Linked DNA regions of Saccharomyces cerevisiae S288C. The protein of the gene in region 1 purifies or fractionates together with the protein of each later gene. This does not show direct contact. Each region holds a gene or a part of one and is shown in the gene's direction. Other genes may lie near its edges.

Region 1 (3,755 bases):
TATGTGATTTATCTAGCGTCACAGTATGTAATATAAATATCAATGAGTTTCTTAACATGACCTCCAAAACTACATGATCGCTTAGTATTACAATATGTGTTTATCCACTATTTTGATACCAACGTAGTATTGCCTTTTATTTTTCAGAATGGCAAAGGCCATCGGAAAATTTTTCCACCAGAAAAAGCGAGATTCCTAATTATAAGGTGAAGGCATCGATGTTCATAATAGTTAAAAGTTGTAATCAAAAAAGAAAAAGGTGCAGAGATAAACAAAGTTAATAAATGACAAAATCAAGAAAGCAGAAGCAAAAAAAGCAGGATTTTTTGAGAAAAAAGTTAAAAGTTGGTAAGCCAAAGGAAAAAGCAAGGAATGCTACCGATACATCTTTCGTTTCCAAGACTATTTCTATTAGAAATCAACATTTAGACCAAAATCCACATGATTTAACAAAACGGCTAACGCTCTTAAAGCATCATAACATCAATGTGAGAAAGGAAACATTAACAACATTCCAAAAGTCAATACCGTCTATAATAAAATCTCGACTTATGACACCATTACTTACTCAAAGTATACCGTTGATTTGCGATGAATCGCAGCAAGTACGTCAGGGACTTATTGATCTCGTAGATGAAATAGGTAGTCACGATGCGGAGATTTTAAAATTGCACTGCAACATTTTTGTCTTATACATTAACATGGCAATGACACATATTGTTACACAAATTCAAGCAGATTCTACTAAATTTCTCTCTCATCTGTTGAAGTATTGCGGAGATGAAGTGGTTAGGAAATCTTGGGTAAAACTTTTGAACGGTGTCTTTGGAGTGCTCGGTTGGGGACAGGTAGGGAAAAATGATAGCGCTAGCATAGTGCAAACGAAGAAGCGAAACGCCAAATATGTCACTATTCATCTCAATGCTCTGTACACTCTTGTTGAATACGGATGTCAGGATGAACGCGCTAGAAGCGACGGAGACACGGCAGAGACTACAGAGGACAGCGGTACGCTACGAAACCCATATTTAATCCCAGATTATCCGCAGCCGTTTGAGCACTTGAAACTATTTACCAGAGAATTGAAAGTTCAGGATGCTACCTCCAGTGGAGTAAATGCCACACTACTGTCATTGGCAACACAGGATATCGATACTCGAAAAGCGGTATTTATCGAACAATTCCTGCCTATAGTACGTAAGAAAATCGAAGTAATTATCAAGGAAGGTGGTGAATGTGGTAAAAGTGCAAACAAGCTTAAAACGCTGCTTGCAAAAATCTTTGATTGACGTTTCATAAGAATACAATATATAATTGATAGATTGTACTTTTTTTTTTGTTACCCTCAGGAGAGGCAGGGCGAAAAATGCAGAATCTTGGATTTTTTTTAAGTAGATCTAAGTTTGTTTATTTTTCAAATACTATTGGCACAAAGGGAAGGGCTTTTCAGGGATTATTCAGATTCGAGTTGGTGGTGAAATTGTGTGTGCGTACATCCTTATATCAGAGCTTTCCTTTAGTGACAACATTTAAATCGACGTGACCTTATTCGGGTAGTCAAACACCGAACCATATTCTTTGCCCTTAGGTTACTTTCCCTTCATTTTATCAGCTTAGTCGATTAAGTTCGTGTCTATATCCCGTCAAAAGTTCCTAATACATTGCGGGTACAAATGTCCTATAAACAAACAACATATTATCCTAGCAGGGGTAATCTGGTAAGAAACGACTCATCTCCGTACACTAATACTATTTCCTCAGAAACCAACAATAGCAGTACAAGCGTATTGAGTCTTCAAGGCGCATCTAACGTGAGTTTAGGGACCACTGGTAACCAATTGTACATGGGCGACTTGGATCCTACATGGGATAAGAATACCGTTAGGCAAATTTGGGCATCTCTGGGAGAAGCGAATATTAATGTCCGGATGATGTGGAATAATACGCTTAATAATGGGTCGAGATCATCAATGGGTCCAAAGAATAATCAAGGATATTGCTTTGTTGATTTTCCCTCATCTACTCATGCAGCAAATGCACTTTTAAAGAATGGTATGCTTATACCCAATTTTCCAAATAAAAAATTGAAATTAAACTGGGCTACATCCTCATATTCAAACAGCAACAATTCTCTTAACAACGTGAAGAGTGGTAACAACTGTTCTATATTTGTTGGAGACTTAGCACCAAATGTTACAGAGTCTCAATTATTTGAACTTTTCATTAACAGATATGCTTCTACTTCTCATGCCAAAATTGTGCACGACCAGGTTACCGGGATGTCTAAGGGCTACGGTTTTGTAAAGTTTACCAATTCTGATGAACAACAGTTAGCTCTGTCAGAAATGCAAGGCGTATTTTTAAATGGTAGAGCCATAAAAGTAGGACCCACATCTGGTCAGCAGCAGCATGTCAGCGGTAACAACGATTACAACCGTAGTTCTTCGTCACTAAACAACGAAAATGTAGACTCGAGATTTCTTTCCAAGGGTCAATCATTTTTAAGCAATGGAAATAATAACATGGGCTTTAAGAGAAACCATATGTCTCAATTCATTTATCCAGTCCAACAGCAGCCGTCTTTAAACCACTTCACTGATCCGAATAACACCACTGTGTTTATCGGAGGATTGTCATCACTGGTGACTGAAGACGAATTACGTGCTTATTTCCAACCTTTTGGCACGATAGTCTATGTCAAAATTCCGGTAGGCAAATGTTGCGGGTTTGTCCAGTATGTTGATCGGCTATCGGCTGAGGCTGCCATTGCTGGGATGCAAGGGTTCCCCATTGCAAATTCAAGAGTTAGACTGTCTTGGGGCAGGTCTGCTAAGCAAACAGCGTTGCTTCAGCAAGCCATGTTAAGTAACTCTTTACAGGTTCAACAACAGCAACCAGGTTTACAGCAACCTAACTACGGATACATTCCATCCAGTACGTGTGAAGCACCTGTTCTGCCAGATAATAATGTTTCATCCACGATGCTTCCTGGATGTCAAATTCTGAATTATTCTAATCCATACGCTAATGCGAATGGATTAGGCTCGAACAATTTCAGTTTCTACAGTAATAATAATGCTACAAATACGCAAGCTACTAGTTTACTGGCTGACACTAGCTCTATGGACCTCTCAGGCACGGGTGGCCAACAAGTTATCATGCAAGGAAGCGAAGCGGTTGTTAACAGCACTAATGCAATGTTAAACCGTTTGGAACAAGGCAGTAATGGTTTTATGTTTGCTTGAGCCACACGTGTATATAAAAATGTTTGTTTTCCTTTTGGCCCTTTTTCTTTCTTGGTATTTTCTTTACTTCAGTGTTAAATTGTATTTGGTCTTAGGCTGACGGTGATATAACAGCGCTTTATTTTCTTTTTTTCATTGCTTTTTATCGTTTTCAAGATTCCATGTCCTTTTATTAAGTCTTTTTTGTATCGTTATAGTTGCGTTTTTCCTTTTGATTTTCATTTCTTTCAAGGTTATTGTTATTCTTAATTCAATTCAAGATTGTACGCTTTTAAGCATGTTTATGATTTTCCTTTATTACTTCCATTTACCTTCTTTCCATCACTACTCATTACGGCCTGTCAATTCCTTTTTTGCGTCACCTTCATTTTTTCTTCTCTGTTCTTTTCTGTATTTGTCGAAAATTTTATATTGATGTATCTTAATTTTATTTTTAGTATTATTATACTGTAAATGTTTCTTACTGTGTCAAGATTTCCCGTTGCGCTATCTTCCAAGACTACGTAATGC
Region 2 (3,975 bases), on another chromosome or scaffold:
ACAATATATATACAATAAATGAGAATCGATTTACTTTTAATGCATTTTTGCAGTCAAAAAAAGCTTCGTTTACATTTATATGTATTTATGTTTGTATTTCTGGGGGAAATATGCCTTTATGGGCGTATATACTCTTTCGTACGTTTCTACATCCGAGTAGCAGTAGTAACTCGGTATTGTGCTTTCGTCGCCATAATCAGGACTATCATAATCGAATTTTTTTTGCGTTTTGTTGTCACCACATATGGTCCCTTCTTCCTCATCATCTATCAATATTCCCAATTCGTAGACAGTTCTACTTAAATTCTCGTCAATGACTTTAGACACATACTTTCGTAGTTTCAATTCATACCCCTTAACCTTCCTTTTACTAGACAAAAATCTCGGACGTATAAAAATGATGAATATTATTATGCTTAGAATTAATTTGCTTATTAAAATTACCCATATGATAAACGAGAACAACATGAAGGACAAGATCACACTTTCTTCGTAATTTGTCTTAGCAATATGTTTTATCTTGTTTATTATTCCATTTAGGTCATCTAAATTACCTAGGCTTTGAGTACTATGGGTTCCGCTACTGGTCTCATTCGAAACTGTCAGTAAAACTGACCACAAAGTTAATCCGTTGATTATTTGCCTTGGAGAGTCACCGAACAATAGCCTCAAACATCCACTGATTTCAAAATATGAAAAGAATAACCACTTACTGAATTTTTTCTCATCAGTCAGCACTATTAGTTCGAAAATTTGATACTTTTTGAAATTGAACAAGCAATTTATTAATCTGCTAATGCCATTCATGTAGTTCGATGTAATCTCTTTCTTCCTATACACTCTCAATCCAATTACCAACTCCCAAATTAATATTAATGAGGAGCATAATATGCATCCGCTAAACAACCATTTTGAAATACGGAATTCCAAGAATGGTTGGATGATATTGTTCGACCATGTGTTAAATGCCAGTAATTTAATACACGTGTATATATCAGAAAAAAACATGGCCACATGTAGTATCGACTGACACCAGGTGTATAGAATATACTGTAATTTTGTGGTCCACTTCGCAGTAGGAATAAGATTTATGTCAATATCCTGGAATTTCAATTTTTGTAAACTTGATTCCATTATTTAGCGCTTTGTTGTCATTTTCCTTTCCCTCTTAGACAATGTGGTAAAAAATGCCAGCTCCAGGGCTTTCAATTAATCCATTATTGATTTTTAATCTGGAGGTTTGAGCATGGCTGAATAATTTATATACAAATATCTTTTTTTATTGTTTCAGATCATTCGTTTTCAGTATGATTTACTATCATTCATTTTCTTTTTCTTTACCATTTTACGTCGCCGTCGCACATCTTAAAACAAATTTAATACAGAGTTGAAAGTTTCAGACTTAAACAGAATTTACGCAAGAAAGTTTTCAAAGTCCTAAAGTAAAAACGCGCCTTCCACAGCCATTTCTTTGTTCAACAAAAAGTTTTGGCCCTTACTGCTATTGGATACTTGGCAATCCGTCTTTCGTTATGCCAGATGAAACAAATTTTACAATAGAAGATATTGAGCCTAGGCCTGATGCCCTTCGAGGTTTGGACACCCAGTTCCTTCAAGACAACACAGCATTAGTACAAGCATATCGTGGTTTAGACTGGTCAGATATTTCTTCGTTGACCCAAATGGTAGATGTTATAGAGCAAACAGTGGTTAAATATGGCAATCCAAATGATTCAATCAAATTGGCCTTGGAAACTATTTTATGGCAAATATTGCGTAAGTACCCTTTATTGTTTGGATTTTGGAAGAGGTTTGCTACTATTGAGTACCAGTTATTTGGTCTCAAGAAATCGATTGCTGTTCTGGCCACCTCGGTCAAATGGTTCCCAACTTCTCTGGAGTTATGGTGTGATTATTTGAATGTGTTGTGTGTTAATAACCCGAACGAAACGGATTTTATTAGGAATAATTTTGAAATTGCAAAGGATCTTATTGGCAAGCAGTTTCTATCACACCCTTTTTGGGACAAGTTTATAGAATTTGAAGTTGGGCAGAAGAATTGGCATAACGTTCAAAGAATATACGAGTACATTATTGAAGTTCCTCTACATCAGTATGCGCGGTTTTTCACATCTTACAAGAAGTTTTTAAATGAAAAAAATTTGAAGACAACAAGGAATATTGATATAGTTTTACGAAAAACACAAACAACAGTAAATGAAATTTGGCAGTTCGAATCGAAAATCAAACAGCCCTTCTTCAACCTGGGCCAAGTGTTAAATGATGATTTGGAAAATTGGTCGCGATATTTAAAATTTGTGACGGATCCTTCAAAATCCTTGGATAAAGAATTCGTAATGTCCGTTTTTGACAGATGTTTGATTCCTTGTCTTTACCATGAAAATACGTGGATGATGTATATTAAGTGGCTAACAAAGAAAAATATATCCGATGAAGTGGTAGTGGATATATACCAAAAAGCCAATACGTTCTTACCACTGGATTTCAAAACTTTGAGGTATGATTTTCTTAGGTTTTTGAAAAGAAAATATCGGTCAAATAATACCTTATTCAATAACATATTCAATGAGACAGTATCGCGTTATTTAAAGATTTGGCCCAACGACATATTACTTATGACGGAGTACCTTTGTATGTTGAAAAGACATTCTTTTAAGAATTCCTTAGATCAATCGCCAAAGGAAATTCTAGAGAAACAAACATCGTTTACTAAAATCCTAGAGACATCAATCACCAACTACATCAATAATCAAATTGATGCCAAGGTGCATTTACAGACCTTAATAAATGATAAAAACTTAAGCATAGTCGTGGTAGAATTGATAAAAACTACATGGCTTGTACTTAAAAATAATATGCAAACAAGGAAATATTTCAACCTTTATCAAAAAAACATCCTCATTAAAAATTCTGTACCGTTCTGGTTAACTTACTACAAATTTGAAAAGAGTAATGTAAATTTTACCAAGCTGAATAAATTCATTAGGGAGCTTGGGGTAGAAATATACTTGCCGACTACAGTAATGAATGATATTTTGACGGATTATAAGACTTTCTATTTAACTCATTCAAATATCGTCACGTATGAATCCTCCATTATAGATTCAAATACATTTGACCCTATCTTGTACCCTGAGCTGAAAATGTCGAATCCAAAATACGATCCAGTATTAAATACTACAGCAAATGTAGATTGGCATAAAAAGACGGAATGGAAGGAGGCTGGTCACATCGGCATAACGACAGAAAGACCGCAGATATCCAACAGTATAATTGAGTGCAATTCAGGAACTTTGATTCAAAAGCCCATCAGTTTGCCTAATTTTAGAAACTTGGAGAAAATTAATCAGGTCAAGATTAATGATCTATACACTGAAGAATTTCTTAAGGAAGGTAAATGAAATTAATCATAAATCATAAATTATATTTAAAATAATAATTTACTCGGCCGGACCCCGAAGGAGTACCCAAATATTTACTTGTTTATAATTTATTATTGAAAATGTTTTATTCTATATTGGTAGAGTTAATAAATAATTATATAATAAATTATTGTATGATAATATAAATAATAGTTTATGTAATATTTTAAGTTATTATTTATAATAAAAAAGTAACTATTGAACCTGTTAAATTAAAATATATTCAAAAAACATTAGAGGTTGGTAAGATTCTATTAAATCGCAGAAATCAAATAATATGAAGAGTAAAACAGGTAGATGAAATAAATTTATTATTAATTTAGTTTACGTAAATCGAAATGACAGGCCTTTTCTGTGTTTTTTGATGGTTATATAATCAGAAAAATTTGATAAATATTGTTTATATGTAAAGACTATTAATGATTGTTTCTATCGTCAGGATATTTTGAAAACGTCCAAATATGTAAAACAACTTCTAAACATTAAATATTTTTGGTGAATTAAAAAAAAATATGCGCAAGCCCGGAATCGA
Region 3 (4,380 bases), on another chromosome or scaffold:
TTCATCAGACGTGGAATGTCAGTTCAATATCTTCTTCCAAACTCTGTCATCCGTTACATCCAAGAGTATAATCTATACATTAATCAAAGTGAACCGGTCAAGCAGGTCTTGGATAGCAAAGAGTGAGTTTATTACAACTCTGATACTGCAGCAGTTCAAATTTACCACTTTCCTCTTCAAGGTGCATAGAAAAAAAGTTCCTGGATGCACGATTTAAAATGTTTACAGCAGAGCAACAATCATGTGAACAATGTCAAACATTTATTTTAACACTTAATAATTATAATATAACCACACCAGCGGTAAGTTTCATAAGGAAAACCTTTCAGACAAACATTCCAGTGAATCGTATACGTAAATCAGCAAAATTAGCTTATAAAATACAGAATCCGAAGATACTTGATCTACTCGCGTTACTATTAATGCGGGTAATGATCTATATTGAATTTTGCACGTCTATAGTAACTTAAAAGTCTTGTAATATTTGAAGTAACAATGCCGTATAATACTGCATAATAGCCCTATCAATCGGAATATACCAAAACATCCTTTATGTCCTGTTCTCAAAATAAGACTTCTGTCAGTCTGGCCTGGCGTGAATGCATATCCATCGCTTCCGTCCTAATTGGCGCGTATGCATCATACAAATACTATAAGCTGTTCAAAACACGCGATATTCCACGTCCAAAAGAAGGCGTTGAAGAACTCATAGGAAACACTCCTCTGGTTAAGATCAGATCTCTTACCAAGGCTACTGGAGTTAACATTTACGCTAAGTTGGAGTTATGCAACCCAGCAGGAAGTGCTAAGGATAGAGTGGCTTTAAACATCATAAAGACGGCTGAGGAATTAGGCGAGCTCGTCAGAGGTGAACCTGGCTGGGTATTTGAAGGAACAAGTGGGTCGACTGGTATCTCTATAGCAGTGGTCTGTAATGCGTTGGGTTATAGGGCACACATTTCTTTGCCCGATGACACATCGCTAGAAAAATTGGCATTACTAGAAAGCCTCGGTGCTACTGTTAATAAGGTTAAGCCCGCTAGTATTGTCGATCCAAACCAATACGTAAATGCCGCCAAAAAGGCATGTAATGAACTAAAGAAGAGTGGTAATGGAATAAGAGCAGTTTTTGCCGATCAGTTCGAAAACGAAGCCAACTGGAAAGTACATTACCAGACCACAGGCCCAGAAATTGCCCATCAAACTAAGGGAAATATTGACGCATTCATTGCTGGCTGCGGTACTGGTGGCACCATAACTGGTGTGGCAAAATTCTTAAAGGAAAGAGCAAAGATACCTTGCCATGTCGTTCTAGCGGATCCACAAGGATCTGGCTTTTATAATAGAGTCAACTATGGCGTGATGTATGACTATGTAGAGAAGGAAGGTACTAGAAGAAGGCATCAAGTTGACACTATCGTAGAAGGGATTGGGTTAAACAGAATCACTCATAATTTTCATATGGGCGAAAAGTTTATTGATGAATCAATACGAGTCAACGATAATCAAGCCATTAGAATGGCAAAATACCTATCGGTAAACGACGGGCTATTCGTGGGGAGTAGTACAGCTATTAATGCGGTAGCCGCTATTCAGGTTGCAAAAACGCTTCCTCACGGCTCAAACATTGTGATTATTGCATGCGACAGCGGTTCAAGACACCTAAGTAAATTCTGGAAAGAAGCTAAAGAAATCGATCACGACGTGTCATTAGAAGAAGTAATAAATATCTAACATAGATGTATAAATCAGTACTGAGTTATCTTCTATTAAATTGTAGGAACAAATATAAAAAAGCAGTTTTCGCTGCTACATTTTTTGCTACTTTCCGTGGTAATGATGCCCGCTAAAAAGTGCAAAAGTAATTAGATAGATCAAGAACAAAAACAGACCAGGACCAAAATCAAGCTCATAAAAGTTCCTTAAGAGTACGTCGATTTACAGAACATGAGGGATATTGTATTTGTATCACCGCAGCTGTATTTGTCATCACAGGAGGGTTGGAAAAGTGATTCTGCCAAAAGTGGGTTCATCCCTATCCTCAAAAATGATCTACAACGTTTTCAGGACTCATTAAAACATATAGTTGACGCCAGAAACAGCTTATCAGAGACACTGCTAAATAGCAACGATGATGGGAGTATACACAATTCTGACCAGAATACTGGTTTGAATAAAGACAAAGAGGCTTCAATAGCAGATAACAATAGTGCTAACAAGTGCGCCACAAGCTCTTCCCGTTACCAAGAGCTCAAACAATTTCTTCCCATTTCCTTAGACCAACAGATTCATACAGTATCTTTACAAGGTGTCTCTTCATCATTTTCTCGCGGACAGATAGAATCATTGCTAGACCACTGTTTGAATTTAGCGTTGACTGAAACTCAAAGCAATTCCGCATTGAAAGTAGAAGCTTGGTCTTCTTTTTCTTCGTTTTTAGATACCCAGGACATTTTTATAAGATTCAGTAAGGTTGATGAAGATGAGGCATTTGTTAATACGCTGAACTACTGCAAAGCCTTATTCGCGTTTATTAGAAAGCTACATGAGGATTTCAAGATTGAGTTACACTTGGATTTGAACACAAAAGAATATGTCGAAGACCGAACAGGAACTATACCGAGTGTTAAGCCAGAAAAGGCTAGCGAATTTTATTCTGTTTTCAAAAACATTGAAGATCAAACAGACGAAAGAAATTCAAAGAAAGAACAGTTGGATGACTCTTCCACACAATACAAAGTGGATACAAACACTTTAAGTGATTTGCCATCGGATGCTTTGGACCAATTGTGCAAGGATATAATAGAATTTAGGACAAAAGTTGTCAGTATAGAGAAAGAAAAAAAAATGAAAAGTACGTACGAGGAAAGTAGGCGTCAAAGACACCAAATGCAAAAAGTTTTTGATCAAATAAGGAAAAACCACTCAGGAGCCAAAGGGAGCGCCAATACAGAGGAGGAGGATACTAATATGGAAGATGAAGATGAGGAGGATGACACTGAAGACGACCTTGCCTTAGAGAAGAGAAAAGAAGAAAGAGACCTGGAAGAATCAAATCGTAGATATGAGGATATGTTACACCAATTACATTCCAATACAGAGCCTAAGATAAAATCCATTAGGGCTGATATCATGAGTGCTGAAAACTATGAGGAACATTTGGAGAAAAATCGCTCATTATATTTGAAGGAGCTATTACACCTTGCCAACGACGTTCATTACGACCACCATAGATCTTTCAAGGAGCAAGAGGAAAGAAGGGACGAAGAGGATAGAGCTAAAAATGGAAATGCAAAGGAACTGGCGCCTATACAACTATCGGATGGTAAGGCCATATCTGCAGGGAAGGCTGCCGCCATCACCCTTCCTGAAGGCACTGTGAAGAGCGAGAACTATAACGCGGACAAGAATGTGTCTGAGAGCTCAGAACACGTCAAGATCAAATTCGACTTTAAGAAGGCTATTGATCACTCAGTTGAAAGCTCTAGCGAAGACGAGGGATACAGAGAGAGCGAGCTACCTCCAACAAAACCCTCCGAGAGAAGCGCGGCAGAGGACCGTTTGCCATTTACAGCAGATGAACTGAACATAAGACTAACTAATCTGAAGGAATCGCGCTACGTGGACGAACTGGTGCGTGAATTCCTCGGCGTCTACGAGGACGAGCTGGTGGAATACATTCTTGAGAACATCCGCGTGAACCAGAGCAAACAGGCCCTTTTAAATGAGCTAAGGGAGACTTTCGACGAGGACGGGGAAACGATAGCTGATAGACTGTGGAGTCGTAAAGAATTTCGCTTGGGGACCTGAAACAGAAGGGCCTTGGCGCGCGTCCCAAAAGGGAAAGGCTCGCTCTGAAACAGGCGAAGACACGAAAACAAATTACCGTTTCGGGGCGTTTTGCAGCAAGTGGCTAGACACGTCGGGCGTTGCCAGATCAAAATAGCACCAGTGGGTGTTTTTTTACTATCTCATCTTCGTGCTGATATATATAACTTTTATACATTTCCATAGTACCAAGTTCTTTATTTCCTGCATTTTTACATTTATAATAGATTACCAAAACTATTCGACCTCACCAAGGGACCCCATAATATTGCTAAAATAATCTTACCTGTTTTTTACCATTTTTTTCTTTTTTTCCAGAAGTAATAAGCTCTCTCTTAGAAGAACTAAAAGCATCTGACTTCGGCTCGTTCCAACCGACCAAAATATTTGTGAAAATATTATTCATTCCTTTAACGACTTATTGTGTATTCTGTTCATCTCTAGCTGGCTTCCACCTCGTTTCCTATTTTTATTGACTTTTCATTAGGCTTCCTAATTATACCCATCTATGCAGTTTCCATTCGCTTGTCTCCTATCGACCCTTGTAATTAG
Region 4 (3,126 bases), on another chromosome or scaffold:
TAGGTAATGCTTCGCCTTCAAAATCGCCTAACCTGCTTCTTGCGCTTGCCATCCATTTCATGCTTTCAAGCAAATGATAGGTAGTTTCTTTTTCATAATCGCCCCCTTCTTGATTCTGGAAATTATCCATTATCCTTAACGCCGCAAGTAGTGCAGCCCCGGAACTTGAGCCGCTACTTGTTAATACGGTCATATCGTTATCAGGGATGAAATTGGCGCCCTTCCTAATTTTCATGGACAGTGGTTTAGTAACATGAACATCATACGATGAAACATCCTGCAAGTTCATTATTCCATTGTATTTTGCGACAGTATCAATCATGGATTTTGCAATCCAGTGATCGGGGTCATAAAATGGGGCCACGGAACCATTTTTAGCCAGTTCCATTAGCATGTTAGATAGTGCCGGCCTCTTGATCCAATCGCCTTCTTTCAAAACACCGTCATGGGTAGAATTCAATACAAACGACCAATCTTCCTTCAATGTCAGGAAAACATCCTCATAAAGTTCTAAAGTGGCACCGAGTGCTTCGCCTATTTGCCAACCCACGCTTCCCAGCTTTGCGACTGGTTCAATTAGATCACGCCAATCAACTTGGCCGCTACCTCTTTCTTTAAAGAGGCGATAGAGACCCATCAATTCACCTGGAACACCGACAGCAAGACCCCCTATTTTTGAGCATAGAGAGCAGTTTTCGAACATGAACTTATGTGAATCCATGGGTGCTTTTTCTCTAAAATCAATGGATAGATGATCTTCATCGTCTTTGCCAGAAAAAACTACGTAGCCACCACCTCCAATCCCACTATTAAAAAAATTCACCATACCCTTACAAAGAGCTTGTGTTACTGCAGCGTCTGCAGCGTTAGAACCGGGAAATTTCAGGAGTACCTCATTTATAGTCAAATTACTACAGACTTCTAAATCTGAACTTATAGCACCATGCAAACCGACTTTTAGAAGTTGCCTATCAGGCGTTAAACTAGGACGGCGAGGTAAAGGGTCAATATCGATGTTATGGTGATCCTTATCGCCGCCATCATCATCGTCGTCTTTTTTCAAATATTCTGCAATAATGTCAACATCTCGATTGGCAGACCCTCGAAGGAGATTATTTATTCTCTGCAAAGTCTCCTGAGAGGCGAATGATACCATTTTTGACGGCATTCCGGACACTAACACACCCAGTGTTAACAGAGTGAATATATGCAGTATAAAACAGGTATTTAAAGTCTTGGGGACTTTTCTATTACACAACAGCATAACTGTAAGTCTAGTACGCTACTTTTTGTCTTGTCTTTTTGTGTGCCTGACAACGCCCCACTTGAATCTGCGTTAGCTTTTTATTCTATTATTTAAGATAACTGTGCAACAGGAAGTCACGATCGAACTTTACGGAAGAATTATAATATTGAGAAGTGCTAGTACACACAGGCGCACACACACATATATATATGTATCTATATACGTGTATGTAGATTTGGAAGTCGAATAGATAAATGCCGTTATGTTCCCTCAGAGAAAATTGATAAGCGGGCAAAAGGCGGCACTAAGACGTTCGAAGGGGCGGATCTTTTCTTTTGATCAACAACAGGCACAGCCGCTGAGTAATATAGTTATGATTTTTCTAATCTCATGTAGGTAATAAAATCTTAAAAGTTATTTTTATTTTCACTCTTTTATATGTGAATAGAGACACTTGTATAGAGATAATAAACGGTTCAAACTCTTTTCACTTTCATATGTTCCACACAGTACCTTATCATTGAACACTAGATTTCCGCAAGTGTCAAGGTACATAGGCGGGTAAGCGTTAAGGATAACAGAAAATATTCTTGCTATACTGAAGATATAATATGAGCTCCTAGTGTAGGCGATGAAGGTGCTCAAGTAACGGAGAGGAAAGAGATAGGCAATGACGAGATACTATTGTGAATACTGTCATTCGTATTTGACCCATGACACGTTGAGCGTTCGTAAATCGCACTTGGTCGGTAAGAATCACCTTCGTATAACAGCTGACTATTATAGGAACAAAGCAAGAGACATTATTAATAAACATAATCATAAAAGACGCCACATTGGAAAAAGAGGCAGGAAAGAAAGAGAAAACAGTAGTCAAAATGAGACGCTAAAAGTTACATGCCTTTCAAATAAGGAGAAAAGACACATCATGCATGTGAAGAAAATGAACCAAAAAGAACTGGCACAAACCTCAATAGATACCTTGAAATTGTTATACGATGGCTCACCAGGATATTCCAAAGTATTTGTGGATGCTAACAGGTTTGATATAGGAGATTTGGTTAAAGCCAGCAAATTACCCCAAAGAGCCAATGAAAAATCTGCACACCATTCCTTCAAGCAAACTTCAAGATCCAGAGATGAGACGTGCGAGAGCAATCCATTTCCTAGGTTGAATAACCCAAAGAAGCTAGAACCCCCAAAGATATTATCACAATGGAGTAACACCATTCCAAAAACTTCTATATTTTACAGTGTAGATATACTGCAAACCACGATCAAGGAGTCCAAGAAGCGGATGCATTCCGACGGCATACGGAAACCGTCGAGTGCCAACGGATATAAAAGGAGGCGGTATGGAAATTAACGCTATCAGATTAGATTATTAAATATTATATGTAGACTATATTTTGCCAAAAAAAACAATAGAGATATCAACAACGAATGAAAATGGTATGATGAGAATAAAAAAAAAGGAAATAAAAAAAGGAAAATTAAAAAATTGAGATTAGTTGAATTGAAAAAGGAAAAAAAATGTTTGGTATGCGATAATTAATTGAATGTGCACGATCGTTACTATCATGAGAATTAAAATTTAAAATGTCCAACTTTCGGGCGTGAAGAGCGGTGCCATCTATTATATCTATTTTTATTTCATGCTTTTTCAGCAAGTGCTTGCTTTTCTTCATCGTTGGACTGTAGTTTCTTATCATTACTGCTGCCTGAACGGAGAGATATGAATATCATGCCAATCAACCCAAGTAGTAAAACTCCAACCACTACAATAATAAAAGATATTATGAAAACAGCGAGTATGTTTTCCAGTGGTTCATTATCGAGGTTAAAATTTGAGAGATCCGGGGTCCCAGAAACGAGTGTGT

What was found.
Region 2: the proteins of NAM8 (region 1) and PRP39 purify together in Saccharomyces cerevisiae (affinity purification with mass spectrometry; 7 studies listed by BioGRID). This does not show direct contact.
Region 3: the proteins of NAM8 (region 1) and SNU71 purify together in Saccharomyces cerevisiae (affinity purification with mass spectrometry; 8 studies listed by BioGRID). This does not show direct contact.
Region 4: the proteins of NAM8 (region 1) and YHC1 purify together in Saccharomyces cerevisiae (affinity purification with mass spectrometry; 5 studies listed by BioGRID). This does not show direct contact.

What each region holds. Positions count from the first base shown.
Region 1 is NC_001140.6:276,480-280,234, forward strand, and holds NAM8 (Nam8p), read left to right. Parts: upstream 1-1,673; coding exon 1,674-3,245; downstream 3,246-3,755. Other genes in the region: IPI1 (Ipi1p), read left to right, coding at 285-1,289; YHR086W-A (uncharacterized protein), read left to right, coding at 3,752-3,755. UniProt on the Saccharomyces cerevisiae protein: Component of the U1 small nuclear ribonucleoprotein complex (U1 snRNP) involved in the initiation of meiotic recombination. Involved in the formation of DSBs at recombination hot-spots through meiosis-specific splicing of REC107 pre-mRNA.
Region 2 is NC_001145.3:179,942-183,916, forward strand, and holds PRP39 (Prp39p), read left to right. Parts: upstream 1-1,532; coding exon 1,533-3,422; downstream 3,423-3,975. Other genes in the region: pheromone-regulated K(+) transporter PRM6, read right to left, coding at 76-1,134. UniProt on the Saccharomyces cerevisiae protein: Function prior to stable branch point recognition by the U1 snRNP particle to facilitate or stabilize the U1 snRNP/5'-splice site interaction. Has a direct role in the assembly or function of a catalytically active spliceosome.
Region 3 is NC_001139.9:512,607-516,986, forward strand, and holds SNU71 (Snu71p), read left to right. Parts: upstream 1-1,947; coding exon 1,948-3,810; downstream 3,811-4,380. Other genes in the region: nicotinamide-nucleotide adenylyltransferase NMA2, read left to right, coding at 1-126; MCY1 (putative cysteine synthase), read left to right, coding at 553-1,734; MSB2 (Msb2p), read left to right, coding at 4,337-4,380. UniProt on the Saccharomyces cerevisiae protein: Component of the U1 snRNP particle, which recognizes and binds the 5'-splice site of pre-mRNA. Together with other non-snRNP factors, U1 snRNP forms the spliceosomal commitment complex, that targets pre-mRNA to the splicing pathway.
Region 4 is NC_001144.5:724,207-727,332, reverse strand, and holds YHC1 (Yhc1p), read left to right. Parts: upstream 1-1,916; coding exon 1,917-2,612; downstream 2,613-3,126. Other genes in the region: ECM38 (gamma-glutamyltransferase), read right to left, coding at 1-1,264; YLR297W (uncharacterized protein), read right to left, coding at 2,900-3,126. UniProt on the Saccharomyces cerevisiae protein: Component of the spliceosomal U1 snRNP, which is essential for recognition of the pre-mRNA 5' splice-site and the subsequent assembly of the spliceosome.